Arabidopsis thaliana: one gene and its partners. The protein of the gene in region 2 interacts with the protein of the main gene of each other region in a pairwise test. Each region holds a gene or a part of one and is shown on either strand. Other genes may lie near its edges. The genes, in order: AT4G29930, WRKY75, AT3G56880 and EIF2 BETA.

The links.
Region 1: the proteins of WRKY75 (region 2) and AT4G29930 interact in a two-hybrid assay, tested with the Arabidopsis thaliana proteins (one large-scale study listed by BioGRID).
Region 3: the proteins of WRKY75 (region 2) and AT3G56880 interact in a two-hybrid assay, tested with the Arabidopsis thaliana proteins (one large-scale study listed by BioGRID).
Region 4: the proteins of WRKY75 (region 2) and EIF2 BETA interact in a two-hybrid assay, tested with the Arabidopsis thaliana proteins (one large-scale study listed by BioGRID).

What each region holds. Positions count from the first base shown.
Region 1 is NC_003075.7:14,640,134-14,649,598, forward strand, and holds AT4G29930 (basic helix-loop-helix (bHLH) DNA-binding superfamily protein), read left to right. Parts: upstream 1-3,860; 5' UTR 3,861-3,974; coding exon 3,975-4,054; intron 4,055-4,176; coding exon 4,177-4,342; intron 4,343-4,726; coding exon 4,727-4,984; coding exon of another isoform or gene 4,985-5,035; exon of another isoform or gene 5,036-5,084; coding exon 5,085-5,372; 3' UTR 5,373-7,226; downstream 7,227-9,465. Other genes in the region: PRHA (pathogenesis related homeodomain protein A), read right to left, coding at 8,213-8,467, 8,622-8,702, 8,860-8,940, 9,102-9,182, 9,335-9,415.
Region 2 is NC_003076.8:4,147,445-4,154,976, reverse strand, and holds WRKY75 (WRKY DNA-binding protein 75), read left to right. Parts: upstream 1-3,775; 5' UTR 3,776-3,957; coding exon 3,958-4,217; intron 4,218-4,871; coding exon 4,872-5,049; 3' UTR 5,050-5,239; downstream 5,240-7,532. Other genes in the region: AT5G13090 (uncharacterized protein), read left to right, coding at 410-1,219; AT5G13070 (MSF1-like family protein), read right to left, coding at 5,915-6,178, 6,474-6,761. UniProt on the Arabidopsis thaliana protein: Transcription factor. Interacts specifically with the W box (5'-(T)TGAC[CT]-3'), a frequently occurring elicitor-responsive cis-acting element.
Region 3 is NC_003074.8:21,055,843-21,063,339, forward strand, and holds AT3G56880 (VQ motif-containing protein), read left to right. Parts: upstream 1-3,942; 5' UTR 3,943-4,201; coding exon 4,202-4,939; 3' UTR 4,940-5,405; downstream 5,406-7,497. Other genes in the region: AT3G56890 (F-box associated ubiquitination effector family protein), read right to left, coding at 7,148-7,497.
Region 4 is NC_003076.8:7,092,100-7,100,687, reverse strand, and holds EIF2 BETA (eukaryotic translation initiation factor 2 beta subunit), read left to right. Parts: upstream 1-3,542; 5' UTR 3,543-3,676; exon of another isoform or gene 3,677-3,817; intron 3,818-4,018; 5' UTR 4,019-4,026; coding exon 4,027-4,065; intron 4,066-4,192; coding exon 4,193-4,307; intron 4,308-4,398; coding exon 4,399-4,454; intron 4,455-4,556; coding exon 4,557-4,611; intron 4,612-4,705; coding exon 4,706-4,800; intron 4,801-4,890; coding exon 4,891-5,036; intron 5,037-5,153; coding exon 5,154-5,296; intron 5,297-5,387; coding exon 5,388-5,473; intron 5,474-5,622; coding exon 5,623-5,694; 3' UTR 5,695-6,039; downstream 6,040-8,588. Other genes in the region: TSL (Protein kinase superfamily protein), read right to left, coding at 1-96, 754-798, 908-1,015, 1,213-1,263, 1,534-1,737, 1,877-1,966, 2,224-2,475; AIP2 (RING/U-box superfamily protein), read left to right, coding at 6,378-6,545, 6,818-7,022, 7,111-7,307, 7,582-7,794, 7,876-8,025; JAZ12 (jasmonate-zim-domain protein 12), read right to left, coding at 8,487-8,583. UniProt on the Arabidopsis thaliana protein: Component of the eIF2 complex that functions in the early steps of protein synthesis by forming a ternary complex with GTP and initiator tRNA.

The DNA of each region.
Region 1 (9,465 bases), on a different chromosome or scaffold from region 2:
AATGGTCCGGTTATATTATCCAACTTTACTAATATCAAGGGCATACTCAAAGTCTACACAGAAACAGGCACGTCAGCAAATTTAAATCAACGCATTAATTATGATTATTAATTCCGCTTTGTTACCTAATGATCTAATAAAGTTATTATATTTTATTTTATTTGTTGTCGACAGTTATACTTCTCTTATCTCTATTCGTTATGTTATATGAATTCACAGGTAAAAGATTAGAGCTAATAAATAACTTAGAATCATAGGAGAATATTTCATTTTATTACATGTTATATACTTATCATGTTTTTAAGAAAATGAAAAAGTTAGGTTAAAGTGGCTATACGATATTACGATAAGTAGTAGTAGTACAATGTTCAACTATTGCAGTCAAAAAAGCATTTTTCACCTTTTACATCTTTTATGGATAGTTTTCACTATTTTTATAACTTAAAAGATGAAACTTTGGTTTCATATAAAATTCTTTTGATCATCTAGCGTCGTATCCAAAACTAAAGATCATATACGTATCTTTAGTTTTGTTTATATTGGGAATATTAACTTTATTATCTATTTATTAGTGTCACCTTTGCTGTGTAATGTGTATCTCCGTATATCTATGTCTCATACTTAGTGATAAATGATTTTTTGCAGAAGGATAAGCTTACAGTGAAAACAATAATCCAATTTCTATGAGGTTAACAAATATGTATATATATTTTAAAACCTCTAAGAGGTTAACATATTTTTAAACGTAAATATTAGTTGCTAGTCGAATTTCTTTTTAACAAAGATTGGCACAAAAATTAATGCCCAAAATATGATTTTATTTAGTTGTTACCAAACTGCCTATAGTTTGATAAAAAAATTATATATAAAAAGGAAAATTAAAAAGGGAAACGAAAAACGGAACAAATCATTGGAGAGGATCGGTCAAAGAGGAATAATTAAGCTCTTTCTTTTTAACAAATTTTATTGTCATTCACTTTTATATTTGTCTTTTGTTGGGTACTGTTGAACGAATGTTTCTTTACTTCCATCACAAGACAAATAAATAACTCAATACGTCGCAAGTGATTCTTTATATTCCTAACTGTCGACTAGAAAGAAAATAAATATCATAGTTCTTTGACAAAAAAAAAAGAAAATATCATAGTTACTTTACTCCAAAATTATAGCCTATGACTAGACTTGATTGGCCATAGAAAATACTTACATATTATGTTATGATGGAATTTCTTCAGTAGCTATTCAATTCTTGTTAGGATACGACGCTATATTATGATGGAGTTTCTTCATTATTTACATGTTATATTATGATAGATAGAACAAGAAACAAAAATAAAAAGCTTCTATGTAATTAATTATGGAAACTTTCTTTGGTAATTTTTGTTTGGACGTTGTAAATTACTTTGCTGTTTTTTATTTTATTTTTTTTTGTATATGTTGCGTTTTCGTTTATTGTTGATTTATATATTCATCTAAACGTGCTTCCAGTTTTAAATAAATTTATTTTGTATTTGTAAACTTAAAAGGCCACATGGAAAATTTTCAAAACTTTACATAAATGACTGAAATTACAATTTACACCATTTTTCTTCACACACTTAAGAAGAGTCAAGACTAAATTTTGGAACATTCAAACGGGCTAAACCATTAAGCATCTTTGTCTGGGCCGAACTCAAAATATATCTCTGTTCAATCCGTGCCTTCAGCCCAACATGTGTTTTTTCAGCCCAATAAGTTTCTTGCATGTTTTGAAATAAATAATGAATTTTAGTCGAATTACTTTCTCTCATATCGGCATATTTTGTTCATTTTGTTTGATGAATGGGTTTAAGTCGTCGAAGTTGGTTAACCGATATCGTAACGTAAGATTGAACCGGAGTTTCAATACTCGTTACATTTTTTCGTATTCTAGCTAACGTGAACGGATGTTGTTTATACAGCTTTCTACTACAAAAGTAGATTTCAAAATTGAACTGCGATTTTCTTCTTACTCTTCTAGAAACACTTCCTCATATTTAATAAGAAACGAAAGAATTAGACTCCGACAATATTGGGAATGTTTAGTTGTCATTTGGACCCAATATAATCAATTCCATACATTTGCAATTGCAAGGTGGGTGAGTCATCAAAATTTATGAATCTTCCAAAGATTATAGATAGAACAGCTTTTAATTAGCCTAATAAACAAAAGGAAATACGATTATGCATACAAAATAAATTAAATATTAAGACTTTTAATGAATTCTTAACCAAAACCATATCAAGTCATATCATACACTATCCTCCATACACGTGGTAGCATACATAAGTACGTTAAATAATTTTATTTAGCAAATAATTTTATTATAATCATCTTTGATCACCAAGATCATGTTGGGCCATCCAAGCCACGACTTTAGTAATGTGAAAACAATATCATAAGGAACGAAACACTGTTCATTTCATACAATTAAAATACAACTTTTTCCTACACATTTTCTCAAGAGTTTAGTAAGTGAGAGACGAATGATTTGAGAAAACAGTTTTTACTTTTTTCGATTTGTTTCTCAAACTCAGTATTTTCGGATTTCTAATCCAGATTAAAAGTTCTGAATAAAATCACGGGGTATGGAGCAAAGCCGATATAAGTAAAAACCTTTCCATATTGATAGACACTAGATTTTTTTTTAGTTCATAAGATAGATACTAGATTTAGTTTGAGTATAATGGATTAATGTGGAACTAGTTGTATTGTTTAGTATGTGTATGTTGTATGATTTAGTGACCGTCTTCAGTTTTCTTGATGTCTTTCCACGTTTTACAAATTCTTGAAAGAACTGAGAACTCAAATGTATGATACATAACCATTGAAAAAAATATTTCCACCATCATAAATAGAGTTTTACGAATCGTTTCACAACTTTTAATTCAGTTGACACCATTAAATAATCAATATTTCTTTAGTTACAATTCAGTAGAATAAAATTGCATATGCTATATTATCTAATTCTATGAATATTTTCTGTCTATGATATTTGATTTTTATATACTTTAGATTTTGGATCACCCCCACATTATTTCGCTTTTCAGTCACATTTTGTGTTTAATATTGCTAGATAAGTCCGTGGTTATAGCTTACTTTGTTAAAATCATATATCTCAACTTATTTCATAACAGTATCTAAAGAAGATGGAATTTTATAAATATATAGACACTCAAAAATCAGAAGAAAATATATATCCACAAATAATAGAAGAAAACATAGATTTACTGCATTCAAATCAAGGGACATGAAAGAATATCCTGGACCCAAGTGGGTTATATTTTCAATAAAATTTAGCAAAAAAAGTTGACAATCAACTAATCATCACCATTATTGGCCATAATCATTACGTACGCATACACATAGCCACGATGTCTACCTATGTTTAAATCTTTGAATTCTGAAACTACGTATCTTTTATTTTTGTTTAAAAAAAACCTAGTACGTATCTTCTTTCCTTACTTAGACATCATCTTCTAACTTTAAGGATCGAAATTAGAAGAAAAACAAATGATTAATATCTACAAGAACAGAATTTTGCATTTATACTCAGATACTCTTCTAGTACCTCACAAAAATAAAATGAAATTGGAATTGAACACGCCCTAAATTCAAGTACTATACGGTCTATACCCATTTGAGTATATGAATAATGCATATTGTGAGTGAAAGAGATAGATACGATACACTCTTTTCTTTGTTTTTCAATTGGACAAAAGGAAACAGATTTTGATCTCTGAATTGAACGGTCAAGATCGTATATAATTATTTCAGGAGATTAAGATCCCACGTGCTTAAAAACTCTCTGTCAGACTCTTTATGTATAAAATCCTCGGCCCACTCTTGTTTTGATAGTACACTCAATAGAAAGACACAAAGAAAGAAAGAAAGGACAAACAGAAATAACAAAACCTTCCATTTCAAGAAAGCATCATCTTTGTGTGTCCGAAAAATGGAAGATCTCGACCATGAGTACAAGAATTACTGGGAAACCACAATGTTCTTCCAGAATCAAGAACTCGAATTTGACAGGTGCTTACTAGAATCTTGGTCCATTTTTTTTTTTTTTGTTTCTTTAGTTTTTTTTTCCGATAAAGATTAATCTTGCTTTAGTTGGTAATTAATGAAAATTGTTATAAATTATAAAATTTAAGTTGGCCGATGGAGGAAGCGTTTTCGGGTTCCGGCGAGTCGAGTTCGCCAGACGGAGCGGCAACGTCGCCGGCTTCTTCGAAGAACGTTGTCTCCGAGAGAAACAGACGGCAAAAGCTTAATCAGAGACTTTTTGCTCTCCGGTCAGTTGTTCCCAATATAAGCAAGGTATGATTAATTATTCCATTACTTCTCTTATTTGTTTAATCAACTGTCTCTTTTAAATTTAATTTGTTATCCAAATAATTTAGTAATAAAGTTTCGTCACCAGCAATTTTTGTTTTGGTCAACAGAAATTAAATAAGCGAATAAACTTTCTCTTCTTTCTTTTGTAAAGAAATAAAACTATACAAATACAATCTGGTTAAACCAAATCCAACCAACATTAAACAAATAAGCAAACCAAATTTTTGATACTCTAAATCCATATCAAGCCATACTAAAATGTATTTTGGTCCCCTAATTACCCTGATAGCATATAATTGTATACGTGTGATGATTTGTTGATTAAGACTGGATTTTATTGAAGTATTAATATTTATCTATTTTTAGTTGGACAAGGCATCTGTCATCAAAGATTCTATCGACTATATGCAAGAACTTATTGATCAAGAGAAGACTCTAGAAGCAGAGATCAGAGAGCTAGAATCACGGTCAACATTGCTAGAAAATCCGGTAAGAGATTACGATTGCAATTTTGCGGAAACTCATCTGCAAGATTTCTCAGACAATAATGACATGAGATCAAAAAAGTTTAAGCAGATGGATTACAGTACTAGAGTACAACACTACCCCATTGAAGTTCTCGAAGTACGTACTATGCATTATTTGGCAGTACATTCTAAATTACCTTTCTTTTGAGGTAAAGTTAATTATTCCAAATTGTTTTTATATAAACATGAAAAAACAGATGAAAGTGACATGGATGGGAGAGAAGACGGTAGTGGTATGCATAACATGTAGCAAGAAAAGAGAGACAATGGTGCAGCTTTGTAAAGTGTTGGAGTCTTTGAATCTCAACATTCTCACTACTAACTTCTCTTCCTTCACCTCTCGTCTCTCCACCACCCTCTTCCTCCAGGTCACTCTCTCCCTCTCTCCCTCTCTCATATCTTTATTTGGCAATGTGATTACTAGTACAAACTACAAAATTCTAAATGCATCTAGAGAATACTGTACGTGTCTTGTTTTGGTTTGACGCTCATTTTGCACTCATGGAGCGAAATTATAAAATGTTAATGGAAAGAGATGATAATATAGTTTAGAAGATTCTTGCTAATAAAGAATGTTAGATCAATTGTAATCAGCTATAAAATTAGTTTTATGCACTTGTCGGACTATAAAACACACCAACCAAATATATTTGTCCATTTTTAATTTGTCGCAACTATTCAGACTTTTATATACCAAATTCAAATCTTACTATTTTCTTTTCTTTTTGGTTATTTTGGGAGAAAAATGGTCGTCTGACGGCACGTAGACAAATCCTTTAGTGGACAAGAATTAATAATATGAATAAAAAGCATATGACTAAGTGCTTTAGTAAAGTGGATTGTTCTTTTGTTTTGGTAAAGAAAATATGTTATCTTTACGTAATAGTACAAAAATGTAATTCAAACTTACGAATTGTTTGGAAAATCACTATCAAATTCAAAAGGATAACCTTTAGACGGACCCATTTAATTACTACTTTTCTCCCACCTGTCTCCATTAAGTGGACCTTAATTCACATTACACCTTAAGTATATATAGTCAGTAATATCTTAATCAATCAATTAAAGCTCCAATTATTGAGGTTGCCTCGAGCCCATCACATTTTTTTCGAATTTCGCCTTGACTTTTTCTGATAGGGTTAGATTCTCTCAAAAGTTAAATGTCATATTCCATAAAAAATTAGGATTAACTTAATCAAAAAATTAGTGTGTGAAATCTCAAGTGCCTCGTGTCCCAGAAAGTGCCGTCCAAGCATAGTAGCACTAGAAAAACGTGGCTAATTTATAACCTCACGCGGTTCAACGTTTGTCTCTTTCACACTTTTAGCACGTGACTTTTCTAGCACTACACCTTATATCAATTCTTAACTCAAATTAACAATAGGCTACAAATCAACTGTAGCCAATTAGCAAGTTATTTGTGTTAACTAGTTGTATATGGTTCATAAGGTCTTCATTATGCTAATCATTTTGGTAAAAATTAGTTACTCCAAATGATATCCATAGCAGTTCATGGTAGAAATTAAGGTTTGGTCCTTTTTAATATAAGCAGATTTGTTAAGAGTTATTATTTTGTGTTTTTACTCTAAAAAATACAAATTCATTTCATTATCTCTATCTATTTGATTTGTTTATCATCATCATATACTAGGACTTTGGTGTAAACAATCTAATTACAAAAATGCTAGTTTCGTGAACTAACGTTCTATTTTTTTTGAAAAAGGTAATTATATTATAAGCTGTAGGTTGGAAATTTTTGATGACAACAAATACGAGTATTTCTTGCCTCACAAATGAATATAATATTATGTTGGTTTTCTTTGACAAAAAAGAATTATGCACCTTTATAACATTTTCTTGATAAAAGATAATATAATCAGACGCTAAAATTACAGTGAGGTATAGACCAGTGGAGTCATTGAGAGTTGGTGAAATCATACTCCAATCATTTATCAAATAAAAAGTCGATCATTTCATTTCAAACCTGTCCTTATCCGTCCTTTTAAAGATTATACAAAAACATTAAACAATGATTTATCCACCAATCTCATTTTCCACGGGAAATAATTATAGTAGTAATGCGTGCAGGTGTATATACACAAATTTATCAGTTCTAATTTTCTTTTTACGTGCTGCCAAAAAAAAAGAAGTTTTTTTTGTCTGATTCGTGTAAAACCTAAACACCCCTAATTTTAATAATCTATACTGACGTTGGACTTCCTAGAATCCTAATTTACTTCAAAATTCTGTAAAGATATCGTATGATTGAAATAATATAGGACTGTTTTAGTTTATATTGTGATAGATGTATTAATTATAGTAAATCGTTGAATTTGCAGGCGGATGAAGAAGAAAGCAGTGCAGTAGAGGCCAAGATACAGATGGCCATCGCAGCTTATAATGATCCAAATTGTCTTATCAACTTCTAATTTACTTCTGGTTTTTTACTTAAATCCGTTTTATGCAATATATGTGAAGAGCTACTATTGTGAGGGTTTATTTGTTTGAGCTACAAAACATCCGATGTTTTCTAATAAAATAAAACAAAAATATGCATGTTCCTTCTTATAATCTTAAAAATTATACTTCTAAAAAAATCATTTGAATTAATTGCAATCATAACCGAGTATAAGAAGAAAAAAACATAAAGAAATATGGTTAAACTAAAAAAGCAAATATGACTTTATAAAAGATTTTGTGGATACTTTGTCTTTGAATTGATGAACATGAATCAAATGCATATTGTAAGTTGCAAAATAGAGAGACTTGCCATTTGTTTCAATTTGATCTGTAAAGTTAGGCAACAAATGTTTAGTAAACTCATAAAAGTGACAGTAGGCTTTGTTAAGGAGTTATGTTCAGATAATTGCAGATTTGTAAACAATTTATTCTTACCGCTATATACACTCGGTCTAAAAGCTTTCTCTATAACCATCATCTTTCTATGATTATTACTTGGTTGAAACTAAAAATATAGTTGCCAATCTTACTCTATCTGTAAGAACCTAAATCTTTCAGCTTTATTATTTTTTAAACTAAAATTAAAAGCCAAAGTTATTTGGAAAAAGGGAATTAAAAAAAAAAAGAGAATAAAAAACGAAATGTACATAATTCAAAAAAGAGAGCTAAAAAGTTCCATTAAAAAAAAAATCCCAGTTTTATTTTTTTCTGGGGGATTTTATCTGAAGTTTAAATGACACATACAAACTGAATAATACACAAAACTACATTAGGTACTCTCTTAGACTACGTTCCAAAAGAATCTAACAATACCAAAACTTCTGCAAAGGACTTTTTTCTTTTCTTGATATATATATATATATTGTTACCTTTTCTCCTTGATCTCTGCTATTGGAACATACACTACTGAGTCTTCTTCAAGTAAAGGAGAAGAAGAATTGCCTAACTTTTTTCGGCCTTTTGGTGTTTTAAATCTATCAAGCCTCTGCGTCACGTCCAGTAACTTGTTTTCTGTTCTACAAAGCATCTCCATTACTGCTTCCAATTCTTCCTCTTCCGTCATCTTTCTCCCCGTCTCCTTCTCTTCTAAGCTCATTTCGTTGCTTAGCTCTTCATGTGACTGAACACAATAAGAACAAATAAACTTTAAAAATCTACAATTGTCTAAAACCACTTGTCAAACCAAATTCATGGAAGCGATACTTGATCATGGTTTCTTTAATATAGATATGTTCAATAAACTCATTTTGGCGAACCAGCTAATTTCATTTTACCTCTTCCGTCATCTTGCTCCCTGTCTCCTTCTCCTCTACCGCTGTACTTAAGCTCATTTCGCTGTTTAGCTCATCATGTGGCTGAACATAATAAGAAAAATAACTTTTAAAATCTGAAATTGTTTAGAATCACTGGTCAAGGCAAGTTCATGGAAGCAGTACTTAACCATGGTTGTTAAATATCAGATATATATGTTCTATCAACTTATTTTGGCAAATCGGCTAATTCATATCTTACCTCTTCCATCATCTTGCTCTCTGTCTCCTTCTCCTCTACAGCCGTCTTTAAGCTCATTTCTCTGCTTAGCTCTTCATGTGGCTGAACACAATAAGAAAAAAATTATTTAAAAAATTTAAAACTGTTTAAAACCACTGGTCAAGAGCTCAAGGCAAGTTCATGGAAGCAGTACTTAATCATGGTTTTTAGTAATAGATATGTTCAATGAACTCATTTGGCGAAACGGCTCATTTGTATCTTACCTCTTCTATCATCTTGCTCTCTGTCTCCTTCTCCTCAGCAGCCGTCTTTAGGCTCATTTCACTGCTTAGCTCTTCATGTGGCTGAACACAAAAAGAAAAGTAACTTTGAAAATCTAAAATTGTTTAAAACAACTGGTCAGCCAAGTTCATGGAAGCAGTACTTAATCATGGTTTTTTATTAATGGATATGTTCTAGAAACTCATTTTGGCGAAACAGCTAATTTATATTTTACCTCTTTCATCATCTTGCTTTCTGTCTCATTCTCCTCTACAGCCGTCTTTAAGCTAATTTCGCTGCTTTGCTTTTCATGTGGCTGAACACAATAAGAACAAATCACTTTTAAAAATCTAAAATTGTCCAAAA
Region 2 (7,532 bases):
CCTTTCTTATATACAATTAAAATTTTCAAATCAACTCGTGTATAAAGTGTACATAAAAATAGTAAATTTCTGTATATACATGAACGAATAAACAGTTGTATTAAGAAAAAAACACATAAATGTGGTAAGTTTTATCTTTATTTTTCAGTCGTATCCAAAGAATACGACGAAACACACAAAAAAAAGTATGGAAAGAAAAAAGCAAGAACTTACATAAATTGGTTTATAGAAAGAAAAAATAAAGGTGGGCCGTATAATTGGAGTCCAAATTTCTTAAATAATTATTTTATGTCTTCACTTATCTAAAAAATAAAATAAATAAATCTTCTCTCCACTGACATTGGTAAAGGCATAGAAAAAAGAAAAAAAAAACTGTTCTTCATCATCATCGTCTCTCCCAAGAAAAACCATGAAAATGAAGAAGAAAGGAAAAGTTTATCCATCTCCTCCTCCTCCTCCTCAATCTTCATCATCTTCTTCTTCTTCGAACCATCTCAACGAAGAAGATGATGATTCTCTCTCTGTGTTGAAGCTTCTTCCAGCGACGATTTTGGTTCTTGTTTCTGTTCTCTCCTCTGAAGAAAGAGAGGTTCTTGCTTACTTAATCACAAGAGGAACCACCATTTCCGATAGAGGAAACTCTTCTTCAAAGAATAAGACGAAGAAGAAGAGCAACAAATCTAGCAAAAATCACAAGCCACCAGTTTTCGATTGTGAGTGTTTCGATTGTTACACTAACTACTGGTTTCGTTGGGATTCTTCGCCGAATCGTGAGCTTATCCATGAAATCATCGAAGCTTTCGAGAATCATCACGGTGAAGAAAACTCTGCTTCTCGGAGCAAATCTAAGAGAGGTAAGAAGAAAGAGAAACCGGGTCGTCGGGTCACTGATTCGGATAGTAAACCGGCTCTTCGGGTCACGGATAATGGTGATAAGGATTCTAAACCCGTCGTGGAGCCAATGAACGAGACCACTGTTTCCGAGAGTAGCCACGTGTCGTCACCAGTTAGATTGAGTGAAGCTGAGGTGGCAGAAGGAGAACCGGAGGATGAGATTGTTGTTGAAGAAGATGGACAAGAAGAAGAATCGACGGTGGTGGTTTTTCCGGCGGCGGCGAGTAATGTGACGGGACACAAAGGGTTGGCGAGGAAGGTATTACCGGACGTGTTGGGTTTGTTCCATTCCAATTTTTGGAGGCTTTGGAATCCGAACGCGTAAAAGCATCGACCGGAAAAAAGTTATGCTTTTTTTAATTTTTTTGTTGTTGCTGTTTTCAGGAAAAATAATCTCATCTTTTGCTTTCATTTTGTTCTTCTATTCTCGAAAAATACATGACTACTTTGGGGTTATGTTTAATATTCTTGGTTGAAAAAATGCAGCTCTTTTAGCCACCATTTCTCTTTATGAAATTCTCTAACAATGTGTGATTATTGTTCTGTTGGCCAAAACTATTTCTGCGGATATACATGAAAGATTTGCAATGTAGTTGATGTTTTGCATTTTCAAGTTCTTTTGACTTGCAATTTTTGTGTTTGGTGGTGAGACTCTACTCTTTCTAGGCGCTGTACACCGAATTTGAGATTTTTTTATTTGAGTGTTTTTTTTAGCTTAGGAACAAAGTTTGTGGATTAGGTAGACTGTTTCGAAGAGTGGGCCAACAAATATTTGCCTTGTGATTAAGCCATCCTCATCTCATAGTGAGAGAGTGTGTCTCATTCTTCTATTTATCTATCCATTTATAGATAGATGTGTTGTTAACTGGTTTATGTGGTTTCATTAGTAATAGTTACGTTGTAACTGCTTTATCATTTATTTATTTTTACGACTCCAGAAATGAAGAAGATGAAATCAAAGTTCTGTTTCTACTACCGTGTTACAACGTAAAGCAACAAAACATTTGGTTACGTTTATATAGGAAACCAAAATTGCCAAATTTAACCAAGGCTTGAACAAAACTTTAATCAGTTTCTTGTTGTTGTTGGGCCCAAAGCTACCTGTTTTACCAATCAAATCTGTTCTTACTTTGTCAATTGTCACAAACCTTGACTTAGTTCTTAAATCACTCACCAAAAACTCTGATTCTCAACCCAAAACAAGAAATAAACTTGTACTTAACTGCCAAAGGCTTGTTGAGCCTAACAACAAATATTGGCCCACATAACAGGCCCAAATCTTACAAAGCACCCAACCCTTTTTTTTTAGCACCCATCCCTTGAGTACTTTTTTCATTAATGTTCTTTTCCAAAAAGATATAGAGGCTGCGAGATGTGAAAGAAAAAAAGTGAGATTGCAAAAGAACACGTGCGTCTTCCAAGAATTTTCTTAGGGGTTATATAATATTCAAACATTTGATCTCTTTGATAATTGTCCAACCTTTTCTTTTTACTTTGTGCTTTTGAATGGTCAATCAAACATGGACTAACAACAGTAAATGGTGAGCTACTTTTGTTTTCCTAATTGAAATTGATTAATAATTGGTAAATGGTTTCAACTTCAAACCTCGGAAGAATAATCATCAAACACGTTTGCGCCTCTTTGTTTACCTTCTACAAGGACTTAAAGTTTGACCAAAATTCCTCAACTACATACGAATGAATATACACTGACGTCCGAAAACAAACCATGAAAAGTACTTTACTTCTCATTAAGCCAATGAAGAAGAAAAAAGTAGCAATATACTCGTCCTAAGCTTTTTTTTTTTTGCTATGAATGTTGTTATCATTATAAAAATTAAAAGAGTTTAGCTTTACTGAGTAAGGGCCTATTGTTTTGAATCTTTGGCCAAAAAAGTTGCGGAATCGTTTGCGTCTGTGGTGATCATGTTTATGATCTCTCTGTCAATTGTGTCGATATACGTCATTAGTTATATCTTGGTATTTATTCAATAAAACCATCAAAAACTGTATTTATTCATCATGGAATCGGTATTATATTAAGTTATAACCGTATCTCACCACAACGACATCAACATCTTTATTCTTTGTTTTAGAAAGCAATGGAACGAAGAACAGATTCAAACTACTTCTCTTTTTTCCACGTGTGTAAATAGTCAATAAATTAGATGGTCCAAGGATAAACTCGTATTTGTATATACAAATATCGAAAACGACTTGTAGTGTGTTTAAGAGCCAATCTAACAATTTTATATGTGTGGATTCAAACATTGAAGACTTTGATTGATCAATTCAAAGAAGTATGCATTTATTATATGCACGGATAAAATGATGACGTTCGACAAAAAAAAAAACGTAAACCTCATATGACGTTCGGATAAAAGAAAAACGTAACACGTACACGACGTCATTGGAGAGATCATTCGTCCGTTCGTAATAATCTTCCACAATCCAAAATTCTGTGTTCTACGTCGGTGCATGCATCGTTTTTTTGGTTATTCTACTTCAATGAATCGCGAAAAGCAGAGTGAGTAATTGATTCTTACGTCAGATCACCAATAAGTCTTTCCTTCCTAATTTGCAATATCTATTACAAAATCTTTATTAATGCGCAGTTTCAAAGCACTCTCAATAGCATACATTCTTGTGTAGATCTGATCCTTATCCATATATATATACATTTAATTGATTATTACTCGTGAAAACTCAGTAAACTATCTTGAGAAAATTGCCTATATCTTTTAAGAAATAAGATTAGGGGTACATAAAACATTATCTTACAAATGTAATTATGTAAAATGTTTAATCCTTACGTGTCGTCTACGACACTACCCCTCTTTAACGATTAGCAGAGGGCCGCCTCTTCGTCTTTGACTTCATAGTCTACCATAAATATGTCTATATATTTTAGACTAAACTTTATTATGTTTTCACAAAGATATCTTAACAAACTCCAATCAATTATCAAACAAAAAGAGAGGAACAAAATTCTTCTTCTTTTGGAATTCAGGTGGATCGGTCTGTCTCGTTGTTATAATCAAGATTCCACAAATAATTAGGAATATGGAGGGATATGATAATGGGTCGTTGTATGCTCCTTTTTTGTCGTTGAAATCTCATTCGAAACCAGAGCTGCATCAAGGCGAAGAAGAGAGCTCAAAGGTTAGATCAGAAGGTTGTTCGAAAAGCGTGGAGTCGTCGAAAAAGAAGGGGAAGAAACAAAGGTATGCGTTTCAAACAAGGAGCCAAGTGGATATTCTTGATGATGGTTATCGATGGAGGAAATATGGCCAAAAGGCCGTCAAGAACAACAAGTTCCCTAGGTTCTTCTTCAATTCTCCCTTCTTATTTATTCATTGCTTACAATTGCTATATATTTTATCGAACATATAAAGAAAGAGTTAAGAGTTAGACATGCATATATATGCTTTAGCCAATTCGAATCAATCTCCAATTAATGTGTATATGTATCATTCACATCGGCCCTAGATTGATCTTAACTATTCTGCAATATGTGTTTTGATTAATTTATCGTTTTCATCTTCTATAGCTAGCCGAGATACATGATCTATTTGTTTCTCTATCTAATAATTAATCAATATTTAATATAAATACACTTTTGGTCAACAAATCATAGAAATGTGCTTTTGTGAAGAAATTTGATGATTAATTACTCTTCTAAAAGACTCGATGAATATATGTATATCCTATTCACATTTTATTCTAGATTGATCTTTACTAATTGATTGGGATATGGATATGGATATTGATTTTTTTTTTTTCTAGTCTATGTAGCTAACAATCAGCGATTAAAAATGAAAGTCTTTTGGTAGACATTTTTCTTCTTATAATTTGGATTCGGGAACATATATGTGACAGTTAATTACTCTTCTAAGAGATTCAAAAACAGTTATTTGCATATAGAGAAGTGAAGTGTTTTGAAATATAACTAATGGTTTATATATATAAATGTGCAGGAGTTACTATAGGTGTACATATGGAGGATGCAATGTGAAGAAGCAAGTGCAAAGATTAACAGTGGACCAAGAAGTGGTCGTGACAACCTACGAAGGAGTGCATTCGCATCCCATCGAGAAATCCACCGAAAACTTCGAGCATATTCTCACTCAAATGCAAATCTACTCTTCTTTCTAGTTAATTCTCTCAAAATCTTTTATACCTTATTTTAGAGCCTATAATTCTTAGAGCTCATGTTGTAAATTATTTACAAAAATTAGAATGTTACATTTTACGTGTGTTGAAAAGAAAAACCATGCATGATCTGATGATCAGCTGAAGTTTGTATCCTAATAATTTTTAATAAAAATTTCAAAAATTGAGTGTAGTCTATTACTGATAGCAGCATATAATGCACATATTAAATTTCAAACAACTGTTGCTAAACATATTATTACGGTTATCTGATAAATAGTAATACTAATGGTTAGGCGTTAATAAGATATGTCATAGTCTCTAACTACCCACCGAAAGTTGTAAGAAAACTACATGAGGTATGGGAATCTGAAAGTTAGCTAGGTAAGTGACAAGAAAGTAAAAAATATCAACGGAGAAAATGACTTTACAATTCTTAAAATTAAATCAGTAACAAAATAAACCCATTTTGCTAGTTAATTCTGCTATCAGCAATGATGCTCTTGAAACAGTGACAAGAGAGTCATTGTTCTTCAGCACCGTCGCATCAGTTCTTGAGTAATCCAGTGTCTTTTTTGCATGTAACCAACCATCTTCGTGTAAATGTATGTAATTGAGCCTGAAATCTTTATTATCAATATCAAGATGCAAACCGTTTGGATTTGGATTCAAAAATTTGGATAAAAGCTTCACAATTCAACTTTCAGTTGCTAACACAAAACAGGAGTTACTGAAACAAACACCAATTTGATCTAAACTGTTTCATAAACTTATTATAACCATGCTCCAAAAACGTAGCTCTCTTGACTTACAAAACATTCAAGAATCACAAACCAAGAAGATACTGGAATCTAAGAAGTTTTGATCTTTAGATCCGAGCGGATTCTGCTTCCATATACTTACAAATCCTCTCCATAACCTCTCTTCCTTTAGCGCTATTCTGCATGAATTTCTCTGCGCACTTCTGTTCAACCTTCTCAGCCATTGAGGCCAGAGCCGACAAGGGTTTGATCCGAATGCTTGTCTCCTGGCTACAAACAGTCCAGGCTGATGGATTATCTGGATGCGGATCATATCTTATCCTCTCCTCCACTTCAATGAACTTTTTGAGACTAATGTTCTTTGTTGTTAGCTGGAAAACGAAATAGTTGAGACATCTTAGCTAATCCAAACACTCATCTATGGATTGTTGTTTATGACTTCCAACTACTAAGAGATACTTCATGGCATGCTAATCAAGTTCCAATGAAACAGATCACAGCAAACTAAAACAAGTTCCTTATCTTACAAATTAGGCAACTTCTTACTAGAACAAATCCTTGGTTGCTATATAAGCTAATCTAATCACTCATCAACGGTTGTTTACGCCTTGTATCTACTAATAAATACTCTATCCCAATCAGAGCATAGAGAAAAGCCGATGATACCTGCATAGAACGTGATTTGCCATCTACAACTGTTGATTCAACACAGTGACAGATGTCCTGACCAATGATCCTATGGAGAAACCATGGACCAGGAGCATGGATGGTGAGAGCACGCGTGGTGTGGAGTTTCCCGGTCTCAGTGTCGAGTTTCCTGTTCAAGGTATCGACTTCAAGGATGTGAGAAAGGATGCGTTTGTTTTCAGGGTCTGCAAACTTCCTCCATGAAGCAGCACTCACCCGCTCCCACGGATGCTTGTAAACATGCTCTTGTCTGTATGCTTTTACCATCAAGAATCTAAACCCAAATCATGAATGTTTTGTGTGAATAGGTGAAAGTGTAAACGAGATATTTTACTACAACAAATAAAAGATTTCTCAGATAAGGATCTAACCACATGATTTGGTCTGCAAAACATTGTTTTTAGCTATGAGGATTGATAAATTTCAACAAACAAAGACGAAGAACACTAACAATTTGGAGAATTTAAACATTGATTTCGTAAATAAAATTGATCTAATTACGGAAATTCTAATTTCAAATTCGGGAATATTCTTCAACGATTCCGACATCGGCGTGAATCAAAACGCACTTAAGAAACACGAAAGAAGAATGGCAGTTTTTGGTACTGTGCTAACAAAATTGAAGGAAACAGAAGAACAAAGAAACGTAATTTAACAGTTGACTCGATTGCTAATCGAGATTTAAAGGAGATTGTGGAAATTGGGAGGAGAGAAGTACCTTGAGAGGTCGGCAAATTCAAGATCTTGGTGAGCTTCGAGAAGTAATAATGACCCAAAAGTGGAGGACGTGACGAGAGTAAAAATAGAGAGGAAGCTAATCAATGGCGGTGTTTATAGAGAGAGACTTGCGGCTTATGTTTACGAACCACGATGTTTCTCTCTCTCAGTCTCTCTCGTAGACGGCACTAGTTTTTGGGCCTTTATTAAGCCCTATTCAGAGACCTCATTCATTATTGGGCTTTAATTGTGTTGAAAAACTCATAATTTATTGTCATACTCTGTGACTTTTTTTCCTTAAATGTTTTTCTCATTTTCTTA
Region 3 (7,497 bases), on a different chromosome or scaffold from region 2:
TGGAGAGGGAAGCTTGGGCGACAAGAGTGGGCAGAGTATTGGGAATGACGAAGAAACATTTAGGCGCTATGCATAATACACGACCGCTTCTTCAAGTCAACAACATTCTCACGTGCCATCTCCCTTTTCTTTTTTACTTTTACTTTTTACTTCTTTTTTATCACTTGTATTAATAATAAGAATCATAAAAAACAAAAATGACGCGGTATCGTCATGATACTGTCATGATTACATGGTTTAAAAAGATGACGTTATCGCTGGCGTCTCTTGACTTTGTTCCTCCCACTAGATTCTTTTTTTTTTTTTGTCAGGATCCAAAATTTTTAAATTAGATCATCCTGCATTTTTCTTATGACAATCAGAAAGACTTTCCTCCTTTAATTTGATCTTTGTAAAGCTAAATATTTTGTAGGTTTATCCAATACACTAATTAGTTTGACTAGAACATCTGGAATAGCTTAAAGCTTAATAAAAAAAAAAAAAACAAAAAAAGAGTTTCAAAGTTCGTGGACGCATTAGCAATACACTAATTTTGGACCTCTTGAACCAACGTAAATCGTCTCATTCATCGATCTGCTGTATGGAATATATAGAATATAGTGCTTAATGGAATTTTTTCAAATATATAAAATTTTAGTTAAATATTCAACCGCTGATATTGATGTGTTTCGCAGCTTTTCATAATTGCTAATTGTCAATGATCGGGACTTTACAAGTGTTGTACAACTAATATGAAGACTAGCCAAATTAAGTATTATGTGCTGACTCGTTATTCTTTTAAGTTTTACAATTATCTTCTTCGTTCTTTTTTTTTTTTTGATAAAATCAATAAAAATACAGTTCTATAATAACTATTCTTTTCAACTGTTAATAAAAATTTAATTTTCCTTTTTGTAACGGTTATTCGTTTCAAGTGTTAATATGTACTAACATATTTGAAAAAGAAAGAAGAAAATGAGTGGAATTAATATTTACGGTTTTGTGGTTGTTATCAAACTATTAATTGGTTTTTTTTTTGGTATATAAAGGATCGTAAAGTAGTAAACCTTAATCAAGCATGTTGAAGGAACAATGCCGACGTCATCCAAATTTCGATGTCTCCAATAATTGACCACTAAAATCAAACGACTAATGAAGAGAGTTATGTAAAAGATTGGTCATGTTTTTTATGGGTCCATCTTCTTCGCTTTAGTCTTTATTATATTATCGTAAAACAATAACTCTTTATGAATTTAATTTCTAACCAGTATACTAATATATACACACATATGTATCTTATATTCTTAATCAACCAATCCAATCAATATAGCTTTCTTCACGCAATCAGCTTCTTCCCATATATTGTCACGAAAATATTATTTATACATATTACATTTACACCGTCGTAGATATATTAATCTTTGTGGGCGTAATAATCACGGCTCTCGTAATAAGGAGGACTCTTCTTATCAACAATCCAATAATTTTATGGAAATTATTGATAACAATTTAGTTAACTACAAGTAGTACTGTTTCAACATATACTATATGTGTACTTGCATAAAAAGATAACTTACATAGCTCGCACTCATTTCGATTGAGATATTCACGAAGATGTCAAATTCATCAATTTATTTATGTGTACTTGCATAAGGAACGAAAATAAATAGATGTCAAATTCATTAATTTAAAGATAAGAAAAATATATTAAAGTACTACTAGGTTTTGGAATTTTCAATTAACATAACTATTTACGCGTAGTATATGTGAATTTTGGTGATGTTTTTTTTAACTGAATTGGTATAGATGTCTGTAAACAAATTATTTAGTAAGTACTATATTATTTTATTTTTGACATGGGAAGACCAAGATTCTGCGCTTGATAACACTGGGAACTTGCATTGAAAGAAGCAGGAGACAAGTTAAAAGAGACAATATCGAAAATCACGACAAATGCTTTTTCTAATTGACATAAATAAACAATATGAATTGTGATAAAGTATATGTTTTTATATTTATGCTAAAAACCATTGTAGATTTTTAAATGATAACAACAAGCTGATAAATTAATTATATATCAGTTAGTGGCTTATATTTTAGTGAACTCGACAGTTTGACTGAGAGATAATAAGAGGTTAGCTAGATTCAATCCGATTTATTTCGTTAGAAGACTAGACCTACATCTAAAATGTGCAATCACACACACACACATAAAGTAAGTATAATTAGAAAGAAAAAAAAAAAAGTACAGACTAATAGATGGGTTATTATAAAGATTTGAACAAAAAACAAAGAAATGTGCAAATGAATTAGATTTTGATATTTAGAAAAAGGAAAAAAAAAAAAAAAAAGAAGAATGGGCCGGAGGGGACAGTGTAAGGTAAGTGAGGAGGAAGAGACGTCGGGATACGTGAAAACGCGTTTTTATTTCTTACAAATAAAAAAAAGGTTTATGACGAACGTGGCAGATAATCATTTTAGATCGTTCATGCATGGATCATGCAAAAGCCTAAAAAGTGACTAAAAAAACTCACTTTCGATTCCCACGTTACAGCTTCATTTGATACTAATATAAGTGTGTCGCTTCTTTACACTTTTTAGTTTTCGAATTTCAGTTACATTAGTAATTAAGCTGAGAAAAAGTTTAGCTGTCCAATTTAGGTGTGTATAAGAATCTTAAAAGTGATTTTTTTGATTACTAAATGTATTTGGGATCAAAGTTTATAAACTTTCACATGCATGGTATAACATTGGATGATATCATTTAATTTTATAAATCAAAGCCCAAGAAAAAGATAAAGAATATTATATGGTTGAAATGAAACCATTAATGTCTGATCCAAAAACATAATCCGGTTCAAATATTTAGACTAGTGTAAATAAACTATCTATTTGATAAATTACACATCAACATGAAAGCCACTCATTGCTATGTTTTAAGTTTGTTTCCTTCAAAACTATCACAACTCCATGCACCTAGTTGTTAAAGAAAATAAATAGGAAACCAAAATTTTTGTGTTTGTGTTTTTTTGTTTGTATGTTGGTATAGATAATTTTGACATTAATTTGTCCCACTAGAATATAAAAGGAAACCAAAATTTAATACGATATGAAGCCCTCTCAAACTTGCGATAAATTTGAAGCTTTACAAAATCAACACAAAAACGGAATCACTTAAAATAGTACTACTGTGATTAATAGTATTTGTTGACCCAACAAAATAATATCTAACATTCATATCCATAATAATATCTAAAATTCATATCCATATATATATATAGAGCTATACATATTCTCCTAGTATTGGTCACCATGGCCTACTTGCATTTATGCAACCTAACGTTTCCCTTTCGATCGTTGTGTTGATTTGTTTCAAGTTTGAACATAAACCGATAAACAGTTTCGACGGGCAAATAATACAGTCTTTGTGCCATATATAAGAAAGAAGCTTAAGGACACTAGTGAGATTAGTGTGTTGTAGTGGGTATTTAAATAGTGAAGTTACAGAATGTTAATAAAGTATAGACTAGAAACCAAACTATTGAAACCATTTTCTCCAATCATATTACATATACAAATTCAAAATTTTAAATATCAAATTTGAATTGGAATGTTGAAAATAGCCTGGCTACATTTGGACTGTGTCGAACACTCTACATGTAGAAGTGAGCAATGCTATATACAATATTGTTTCTTTGTTCAACTCTATTTTCCACTAATTTTCTTTTAAAAAGATTAACAATTAAGTACTTAAATGTGTCAAATCAGCTATATAACCTTGAGATATTTAGGAGCAAAAATAATTTATATTTTTACAAGACCAATTCTCAATCCATCTTTTTTTTATAATAAAAATGTTCAAAGAAGAGATTAGCGACGACATAATCCATAAATTAATACAGAGATTAGATAGAGAGTCAAGAAAAATGGGTTTAATAAATAAGACGAAAAAAACAGAGCTGAGTCAGAGTTCCGTACAATTCTGCTGACGCGTGTCTTCTCCTTTCTCTCTCTTCTCCACGCGGTTTCTCATTCTCTCTCTCTCTCTCTTCGCCGTCCTATTTATATTATCTCTCCTCAGCTTTCATTTCTCCAATTCATTCATTATCACATTCCTTTACTCACTCTCTCTCTCTCTCTAAAAACAGAGCTCAACAATAATGATCCACTAAAAAAGATTCTCTTTTCTCTTCTTCTCCGGTGATTTACTTACTTAACAATCATGGCGTCGTCGGAGGGATTAGCAAGCGTTGATCCTTGGTCATTCCGTCAAAACTTCAACATCGATTCGTGGCTACTCTCTGATTCCTTCTCACACGACAGTGATATACTCGCTAAAGCTCTTCACAGATCCATCTCCACTTCCACCGAATCATCTCCTCTTTCTCCTTCATCTTTCTTCGACTCTTCAACCGCCGCCGTCGATTTTTCTCCTCCTCAAACTCTCTCCAACGTCTCTTTCGGCTCAGATCCAGAAATCCCCGCCGCTAGTGCTCTTGGTCTCGGGAAACGAAAACGTGGTCCTGGTGTTTCCGGTGGTAAACAAACGAAACGCCGATCTCGAGTTTCTAATAAGAAATCTCAAACCACGTTTATAACGGCGGACGCTGCTAATTTCCGGCAGATGGTTCAACAAGTCACCGGAGCTAAGTTCCTCGGTTCTTCCAACAGCATTTTCGCACCGATTGTGAAGCCGGAGCCACACCGTCTCGCTAGTAGATTACCACCGTCGTGCGGAAACTTGGACCGATCTTCAGCTGTTCCAACGCTAGATACGTCGTCGTTTTTGTCTAACCATCACCAAGAGAACATTATCACAGATTTGGGAGCTCCGACCGGTTCGTTTCATCATCAATCCAGTGCAGGTACAACGACGGCGAACGTTGGTGGTGGTAGCTCCGCCGTGGAATTGGATAGTTACCCGAGCTTCCCAACACTCGAATCATGGAAAGTTATGTGATCGATCTGATTTTAAGATTAGTGTTTATGTAGAGATGTAATCCCTTTTGTTTTTTTCCTTTGTGTTTCTCATTTTGTTATGAAGAATCTTGTTTTAGTCCTTAAGCTTATGCAGCTATGGAGTCTCTTGTTCATACTTTTGGGGAAATCAAATGGTTTATTGGAAAAAAAACTTGTTACTGCATTAATTTTGTGTTAGCACTATCAAATTTACTTTTTAACTGTTTTTAAGGATAAAAAGCGGAAAAAGGATAAATCTTCTTCAGCCTATACATGGCTGTAAAAGAAGGATTTGTCTTCAGAGAAGCTAGGGAATATCTTTATGGTCCCATGTATCTATACACAGAAAAGACAATCATACACGTTACCACCACCACAATAATGTCTCCATTACTGATACAAATCTATTTTTCTCTTAGATGTAAAGATTCCTCTTATCATATAATCTGAAGATTAATAAAATGAAGCATAGTGTAGCAACAAGAATTAAGTTACACAAAATAGGAGATTAGCTTTCAACAACTACTACAAGAGGAGTATGTCAAAGTAAACGATAATGCGACAACAACCCAAGTCAAAAAGATTGCATCGTAAAAAAGAAAAGTTAGAATACTCTCATAATGGGTTTGGTGATCAGAAACAAACAAAAAAAAATTACATTTATAAGGAGATTATATATGAGAAAAGTCGCAAGCAATAGTTTAGTTTTTTCAACAGCTCCTTAGGTCAGTTTTAAAGTGAGTCAACGTCAATGCCACAAAAGAGGAAGCACTGATTCATCATGAGTCGTGTTCTTAGTTTGACTGTTAAACGTCATTTGCGTTGATTCTTTGATTCCTATATTACACGACACCAATATATGTCCCGTTGAGATCAAACTTACTCATTAGAAACAAAACGTATACTTTAAACAAGACTTAACTTAAGATCCCGAAACGTTAAATCAAGGTTGACACTAGATTTGGATGCACTTCACATTTTTGTTGGATCTATTCACTTTAAAAACTCAAAATTTTGCAAATATTGGTGTAACATGTGGACGGTGGAAGAGACTAACCGAGCAATAAATATTAGGAGGGGCCATAGATTGACCAAAGCGATTATATAATGTAAGTCATAAGTCAGAACAAAGACTAATGTAAAGGCGACAAATATATTAGGGGTTGTTGGTGGTTGCACCTGAGATGGGTTTATGAGGGAATCATCATCTACTTTGTCTCACTCTGATTCAGACACTTATCTATCATCTCATGTGGGTCGGTCTTTGGGCTTTTAATTATGAGGACGACACCAAAAGTGTGTGTTCAGTTTACGTTAAACCCAGTATTTATCTGTGGTATGATTCAGCTTATAAACACAACTTATTACCAAAAGCTAGGAAGTAATTAAGTATTTTTGTATTTCACATCTTCCACAAGTTGATCTCTAGTTTGTTTCCTAGCCTATACTACACTGGTGAAGCAGCTAGAAATGTGCTCTTAGATTTGCAAACACTTGTAAAATTATGAGATTTCCTCTGTTTCTTCTCATTTGTTTTTTAGTTGTAACGCTTCGATCAAGAAACCCTTATAAGAAAGACACATTCTATCAAGCAGCTGGGCTTTTACAGTGGATGCAGTAAGTAATCAATCTAAAGAGATCCAAATAGTGAAAAAACCTGAAAATGCAGATTACAACAACTTAATCATTTCGTGTTTTCTGAAACTAAGTCTTGACTTTTAATTTGGCTTGGCCTCGAAGATCTGATTAGAAAATCAAATCAACACCTGTCCTCACTCTAGGTTAGCAAATACTTGTACCTGTTCTGCTGCGCTTGTTATTCATAGATGGAGTGGAACCGAGTTTGCAGAGACCTCTTCCAGATGATGGTATCAAGGCAAAAAATTATGTGCAATGGTAGAGACAGCATTAAACTATACAATCGGATTTACTGATTTAGAACTGTAGAGAGATAGAATTACAAATGAAAACTACGTTAACCAAAGATAGTCACGAGGTACATACGATTTACCAAAGCTAGATTTGACTCGCACAGACTTTTACAAACGTCTAATACTATTAACTAAAGAATATAAAGGCATACATGATGCCCTTTTGCTTTTTACCTATTCCTTGTCTCATTGTTTTACTCTCTTATACTCTTCTCCTCTTCTTCTGTCTTCATCTTCACTTATGTCTTTTCCATTTCTTCTCCCTACTTACACCATCATCATACCTCGTCCCCTACGTTGTCAGGACATAACGTTTCACAGCAGTAACAGCGGCTCTTGATATGAGAAATGCTTGACTTGAATTGCTTTGCATCGTTTAGACTAAGATCCTCAACATAGTCAACAAAGGCATAAACTTCACCACGATGCTCAACCTCTTCAAGCTTAGCTCCAAAACCTTGGATTTCAACACTTTGGAGGGTTTTCTTTTCGGGATCGAAGTAGAATACATAGTACGGTTTACATGTATACTTCATACACAAAACAATATCGCCTCTTGCAGTCACTCCAGCAACTGAAAACTCGCAGGAACCAAGGACTTCATTCTCCGGTAAAGTGTAGACATACT
Region 4 (8,588 bases), 2.9 Mb from region 2:
GCCTAATCGCAAAGATTCATTTCTGACTTTCGTTCTTGCTTCTTGTCTCTCAGTTTTGGAAACAGATATGAGAAGGTCCGAGATTACTTTAGTTGTCTGCGTGAAGAAAAAGAAAGGTTCAAAGCTTGCTGTTAGCAAGTGCACTGTTAGCTTAGACCAAATAATTCCGCATGATTTCCATAAGTATGTAAGAGTTATTAAGAATATCAGAGAGAAGCAGCCACAAAACATTTGATAAATTTCTTCATTACACTAACAGTAATAGTGCTACAGGGTTTGCAAAAGTTTCTGCCAATTTAAGTACCAAGTTGATATGAAGATACCCAGTTCGTTACAATTTGGTTCCACATTCAATGCACCTAAATCGCCTTCTCCGCAATAGATTGCCTATTAATTATTACCTAAAGAAATACTACTAAATGCTTTACGAAAAGAGCTCACTGGAAATGGAGTACTATAGGTAACGTAGACAATTGCAAGATCCAAGCTTTCACAGATATTTCAGTTATTTAGCAGCAGCACCATCAATAAATTTACTGAGCATTCTAAGCAAATCAGGAGACTGTCTATTGATTTAACTTTCTCGGGATAGAACTACCATGCTTCTTATGGAGAAAAATGTTTAACTCTAAGATTCTCCCAAAATCATTGAGAATATTAAAAGTAACCATGCCATAGTAGGTGCAAAATTTTATAAAAGAACATAAAAATTCTCAATAATCTATTAAGACACGGAAACAAAAGTTTGCGTACCTTTTGCTTCCCTTGTTGTTCCTGATCTTTCAGATCTTTTACCTCCTGCATATATCATTACTAGGATTATAAGCAGAGCAGGGGAATGGGAATAGATAAAAATGGTAATAGCATAGGCACAAATAGCTAAATCTGAAAGGCATTCACACAATACATTCTCAAGATTCCTGACAAGGTGGTGATACTCAGAAGAATCTTGTCGAGATTTACGCAATTCCTCCTCCAGCATAGCGATTTTTGCACGCAAAGATTTTAAGTCTTCCTGATTTATAAACAAGGAACAAAATAGTGAATAAAGAAAGATATAATTGTACAGTTTCATTGTTGTAGGATAATCATATATAATAATCCCGTTCACTTATTCTAACCAACTTAGAACATGCAGCTTAGTCCTAGACGATGAGACACAAACATATTCTCCAATATTACAGAGTAAAAGACATTATAGGAGAAACTTACATCCTGGAGAGAGCATTCACCATTCCTGAGCTGTCCATCAGGCCTAAAATCCTGGAGAATAAAATGCAGAAAATATTCATTGATAAACTGCGTCTGGTCATCAACATCAATGCAAACAGCAAAAAAAAAGGTAGGAAAAGGCATAGTAATTCTTTCTTGTCCTGCTTAATTTTTTCATACAGGCCAATTAAAAGGTTTTACTTCAGGAAAACATATAATTTGTGTCCACGTTTGTCAACGAAATTAAGTCTCATATATGTAAATCCTCGATGATGAGAAGAGTGGTTCCATGTAAGGTCCGATGAGGTAAACAATACTAACCTTTTGATCAGAGGCATCCAGTTGACTGGCAGCTGATACTGGTGCAACCACAAACTGAGATTTTGTCACATCGTTATTAGTTTTAGAACCACGCCCTCTACCTGTTGACGAAGCCCGACCTCGACCTTGTTTCTTCTTACTTACATCAAGGCCTGTCTTGGACTCAGCATCATTTTTCCTTCCATCATATGCTGCCTCTTGTGGCTTCAATTCAACAATATTCTTCATTATAAGTTGATGAGAAATACTAGGAGACAAAACTTACATCATACACCAATATTTGATATAAAAAACATCAACCCGATAAGAGACTAAAAGAAAACTCTTTATGAAAAATCAATACCTCAACATGATCAACAACACTGAAGTTGTTAGATTCTTGAACTTTCTGGCGCTTTTTTGTATTTGCTCGGATTAGGAAATCTCCAGTATTCTGAGACAGTAACAAGGAGAATGAGATCTAGCTAAAAAAGAGACTGTATTTCTTGTTCAAGAAAGAAATATAGATGCATCTGCAATGCCAGGATATGTAGCCAGCATTGCATACAACTTTGATCAATCTTTAGGCACAAACTGATCAATACAAGGAGGATAGGGACATCAACAATTCAATTAGCAACGACCCTTAGACTCACAAGAATCATAGCATAGACATAAACAAAAGAATTTGAAACAAACATCGGAAGCTACCTCGTCGTCTGAATCACTGATAGAGGTTTCGGACAATCCCGGCGGTGTGGAAGTGACGACTTTGACAGCGGCAGAAGCAGATGACCAGAGAGAGACCTGCTGCTGCTGCTGTTGTTGTTGTTGTGGTGGCTTGGCCGAGGAAGGGGTCTTACCAGTCAAGCGGGCCTCAAGCTTGGCGATTTTGTCGGGTAAAGAGTGATCCGACTGATTAGAAGAATTCGAGGAGAAATGCAAAACCATGTCATCCGACATTGCCAAACACTTGCGGACACTTCACTCCCTAATTTCTACACAGATCAGAGTAAATTCGAGAAATTAGGGTTTTTTAACGGAGAATTACGGAATTGGAAGCTAGAATCTGGATGTCGAAGAGAAACCCATCAACAAATTTTCATGCTTTTATGCAAATCCACGTGGAGGAAAGTGAATAAAACGTACAGAGAAAGATAGACAGAGAAAGAGAAGGAGGAATAAGGTTTTTGTTTCGGTGAAAAAGAAAAATCGAGGAACCCTAAGGAATTAGGAGGGAAAGAGAGGTCAACACAAAGTTCTCTTTAGCACTCACTCTGATACATTTTTTGGTTTATCAGATTTTAGCCTAATTATATAATCTGAGGTTTGAGACAAGTTTGAGTTATGGGTGTGTTAATTTGGGAAATTTCCATTTTTTCTTTCTTTTTTTTTCTCCATTTGGTATCATGGATTAGGGTTGACTATAAGTAGGGTTTTCTTTGATCTAAGGCCAGACTCGTGGTTTAAACGCTAAAATCCGATTATGACTATATGAATTTGCGGAAGTAGGCGGTTGCCGTCTCAAGCGTTATTAAACAATTTGAACGATTAATTTAGCGGTTGAAAATTAATGCATTTGCGGAAATTTTGTTACTGAATATCTAACAAACTAAAATACTTAATATATTAAATAATAAAATAATATAATTTAGTAATTTATAGTAAAATAAGATATGCTAGACTATTAATTTTGACACTAAATATATTCTGATTTCTTTCTTTACTAGTTTCATTTATATTTAATAACATTTTTATATAATTTACTATTCACAGAATTTAATAAGAAATAAATCTTAATTTGAAAAAAAAAAAATTGATTTGATAAAATTTCAATTGATTAATTAATTAAGACAAATAAAATAATAAATGAGAATCTCAGTGTCAATTAATAGATAAAATTAAAATGTAACATGCGTTAAGAAAAAGAAAAAAGTAAAAATGTAATATTAAGGTTTAGGCAAAATGAAATATTTACAGAGACCTTTTACTATTGAATTAAAAAAAAAAGTTACAATTCGAGATGGACTATTTTTTTGGAGGAGCAAGGGTTAACTCTTATCTCAGATTAAAACAACCCCTGCGCCGCTTACTCTCTCTCAGATTCCTCCCGAAGCAACCTCGTTTACTCTCTACGCCAATTTCAGCGCTTAGACATCCCTTTGTGAGTTTTCTTCGATTCCTTTTCGAATTCTTCTGGTCGATCTCAGAGTAAATCGTGTTTTTGGAAGAATTGAGTATAAACAGATTGGTAAACCTAGCTGTTCCGTTTCTGATTTGAAGCCTTGTCGTACATTTTATTTGGGTATTTTTTTTATTGGGAATCGAAAAGTTGTTCTGAATCTCGTTATGGTTTTGTTGCGTTCCGAATTACCTCTCTGATTTAGAAACCCTAATTTCGGACTTGCCTATGCTCATCGTTGTTACAGATTATGTTGATTCTAATATGTATATGTTTGGTTTCTGAGGTCTTATTATCATTGTGTGTTTTCGTTTTGTATCTCAGTTGCAATCATGGCTGATGAAATCAATGAGATAAGGGAAGAGCAAGAAGTAAGTTTGTTTTTTTTCTCTGTTTCTTAATGATAGGGCTCAAGTTAGCCATATAGATTTTTTTTTTTGTTTTGTTTGATGAACTCATGATTGAATGGTTTTTATGTTTTGGTTCATCCTTTTACAGCAGCTCGCACCCTTTGATCCTTCCAAGAAGAAAAAGAAGAAGAAGGTTGTGATTCAGGAACCTGTCGAGGACTTAGCAGAGTCTTCACAGACTGAGAAATCTGATTCATTGCCTGGTATGTATGATGAAGAGTCAATGTGATGTGAAACATTTTTTTTGTTTCAATGGTCTTTTGTGTTACTTTGTCTAATTCCTTGTTTTTGCAGTTAATGATGGTCTTGAGAGTTCATTTACTGGAATGAAGAAAAAGAAGAAGAAGCCAGTGAGTATTGTTTTACGTTTTGTGCCTAGTATTTTTTTTATGTCATTAAACTTGTGTGTTTGATGATTCTGTGACTCACATTTGTTCTTGTTTGATATTTAGACTGAATCAAGCTTATTGAACAACGAAAGTGTTGATGCTGGGGAAGATTTGGATGGTACTTTTAATATCCTTTTTTTTTGTTTGCTAATATACCTTTTCTCTTGGCGGGGTTTTTATCCTGTTTGAATCTTACTGAGAATATATTGCAGAGATTGCTAATGACGAGCAAGAGGGGGAAGAAGGAATAGTTCTACAGCAACGTTACCCCTGGGAGGGAAGTGAGAGGGATTACATATATGACGAGGTGACTATATTTTCGATGATTTCTTTTGTTTTAATCCTTCATAAATATCTTGCTCCCTTGTTTTTTTGCTGACGGGAGTTATATATGCAGCTTCTTGGTAGAGTCTTTAACATTCTCCGTGAAAATAATCCGGAGCTTGCTGGAGATAGGCGTCGTACAGTTATGAGGCCTCCTCAAGTTCTTCGTGAGGGGACAAAGAAGACTGTCTTTGTCAACTTCATGGACCTTTGCAAGACGTATGAGCTAACTCTTTATCTTCCTCTTCAAACTTTTTCTGTGTAACCATAAGTAATATTACCATTTAATTTTGATGACTTTTCGATGACATGTCTTATCTGCATATAAAAAATCAGGATGCATCGTCAACCAGATCATGTTATGCAATACTTGCTTGCTGAGTTGGGTACTAGTGGTTCGCTTGATGGGCAGCAAAGGTTGGTTGTTAAGGGAAGGTTTGCACCTAAGAATTTTGAAGGAATTTTGCGGCGATATATCAGTAAGTAACTTTCTTCTTAGTCTCAAAATTTAAGTTGCCATAAAAGTATATCAGTTTGGAGTTGTTAACCTCTTGTTTTATTATTTCTCAGCTGACTACGTCATTTGCCTTGGTTGCAAGAGCCCAGACACCATTCTCTCCAAGGAGAACCGTCTCTTCTTTCTGAGATGTGAAAAGGTATAAGTTAATCTAATTAGTCCTGATCTTGATATGCATTCCTTTGTTTCTGTTTTACAGTTTTACTTTCTGCGCAACAAAGTAATAAAGTATTTTGTGTGTTTGAATTTGCTAATGTGATTAACGAGTGGGCTACATGGTTTTTGCAGTGTGGATCTCAACGATCTGTGGCTCCGATCAAAACAGGGTTTGTTGCTCGTGTTAGTCGCAGGAAGACTTGAGAAATTAGAAGGTGAAGTGACCTTGGTATGGAGTTTGGAGCTATTCTACTGCTTCTGTATGAGTTTATGAGTTGAAGAAATACTTGTCTTGTTTTTTTTATTTTGTTTTGGAATATGATTATGACTTGACTTTTAAAATGGGATAGGATCAAAACCTTTTACTCTGTCAGGTTCATGTGGTCACCTTGAAGGTTGATTTAGTAAATCCATGGACTTCTTTTTTGTGTTAAGATTATTCTTAGTTCAAAATTAATAGACTAATGATATTAACGTCCACAGGCATTGCGTTCAACATCTCAAATTAAAGCGTGGAAGGCTCAGAAAGTCCAATATACACTATGTTTATCTACAGTTACAATCATACTACAAAAAACAAATAATGTATACGGTTTGGTCTAATATAGCCGCATACGATTTAGTATTTACCAACAAAAAATTGGTCTCAAACCAAACCGAACAATTGGTAATTAACAATTGTTCTTTTGGTCTTGAACCGAACCAAACCGAACTGAACTATATTAACCGACCGACTTCGTCCTTTCCTCCTGATCAAGAAAACTCGTCTCCTACAAAAATCCCAGAAGACAAGAGATTGGTTCTTCTTTTGCATCATTCTTACAAAATCCCCAAAATCATTCGAAACCCCTGAGTATTCTCCTTAACTCTAAGAAATAAATTTCTGAATGGATGCATCGTCTTCACCGTCTCCTTCCGAGGAAAGCTTGAAGCTTGAGCTTGATGATCTTCAGAAACAGCTGAACAAAAAGCTGAGATTCGAAGCATCCGTTTGTTCTATTCATAATCTTCTCCGTGATCACTACTCTTCTTCCTCTCCTTCTCTCCGCAAACAGGTTGGTTTTTATTCTTAGATTTTCGGATCAATAGATTCAAAATTATTCGGAATTGTTAGGGTTTATGCCTGCCTTGACGTTTACTCATTGCTTATGTCTGATGATGGGTTTAACTTTTGAGGATTGAATCAGGAATCAAATATCTTTCTTTTATTGTTTTTCTATTTCAATTGTGGAGAAAGTTCATGTTCATGTCAAAAATTTCATTTAATCCGATCTGTTTTTGTTTAGTTACCCTCTGTGACATAGTATTGATTTGATTGCCATTGCAGTTCTATATAGTTGTATCTCGTGTCGCTACGGTTCTTAAGACAAGATATACAGCTACTGGATTTTGGGTTGCTGGACTGAGTCTTTTCGAAGAGGCTGAGCGACTTGTCTCTGATGCTTCTGAGAAGAAACATTTGAAATCTTGCGTTGCTCAAGCTAAGGAGCAGTTAAGCGAAGTAGATAATCAGCCAACAGAGAGCTCACAAGGTTTGTGAAACATTTAGTTTGGCTTTTGATGGTTTTAAGTGAAATTTATCTGGAGATGATTTTTATTTCTCTTGTGAATTTTTTGCAGGTTATCTTTTTGAGGGACATCTTACGGTTGATCGTGAGCCGCCACAGCCTCAGTGGCTAGTACAGCAGAATCTCATGTCTGCTTTCGCTTCTATCGTTGGTGGTGAATCCTCTAATGGTCCTACTGAAAACACTATTGGGGAAACTGCTAACTTGATGCAAGAACTTATCAATGGTCTTGACATGATCATTCCAGATGTAATGCCTTCTCTTTTCTTCCTTACTAGTTTTAGATTATGTACTATCACACATAGCTGATATCACAAGTTTCTTCACCTAAAGATAGAGATGAAAGCAATTCTTAATCATCCGCATTCTACTCATATGTTGTTTTTTGCATATTGAGTTTCTCCACTTGGTTGTCTCACTCATCTGTATCAAGAGTGTTTAACCTCAACCTCTAATATTGTATTGGTAGCGTCTTTTTCTTAGCTTCATGATTGAAAAGTGATATATGATGTGTTCTATGCAGATACTAGATGATGGTGGACCACCAAGAGCTCCACCGGCAAGTAAAGAAGTTGTAGAGAAACTCCCAGTCATTATTTTCACCGAGGAATTGCTTAAAAAGTTTGGAGCAGAGGCAGAATGTTGCATCTGCAAGGAGAATCTAGTTATTGGCGACAAGATGCAGGAATTGCCATGCAAGCACACATTTCACCCTCCTTGCCTAAAGCCTTGGCTGGTATAAAAAAAAAAATCCCATTCTTTCAAGCTTACTAGTAAGTAAGAACATAAAGCTTATGCTCATATTGTTTTATGGCAGGACGAGCATAACTCTTGCCCTATATGCCGCCATGAATTACCAACAGACGATCAGAAATACGAAAACTGGAAAGAGAGAGAGAAAGAGGCCGAAGAAGAGAGGAAGGGCGCAGAGAATGCTGTCCGCGGAGGTGAATATATGTACGTTTAAATTTCAATCAGTTATGGCACACTCCCATTGTCTTTCCTTGAAACATCTCCGAATTGTTGTTCATCATTCACAATTATAAATCCCATTTTACATATAGATTCAATGTCTTTTGTATGAAAGCTTATAATAACAACACAGACTTCTTTACTTTACACACAATTGTATCTTGAAGAGATGACAAGTTCAATAACATAACATCAAAGAGTCATTAGTTAGATAGACTCTAGGACAGTGTTACTAACTACAATAGTTTCTTCAGTAGAATTGTAAAATGGCAAACATATCTGACCACTCCCAGACATGGAAACAATCTTCGGTTTGTCTAGCAAACCTATACAGACACTATCATACAACACATTACACACAGCAGCGTACATGATAGATTATCATATTAATTACTATATTGACAAAACGTTTTACTTAGTTTGCTTATAAGCTTAATGTGGAGGTTTGATCTTCTGCTAAGCAGTTGGAAATTCCTCCTTGATAGAGACATTGCCTGTTGGGACATCTGTCTTTTTGAAGTCTGAAGTAGGGTAAGGGTTTTTGTTGACCAATCTGCA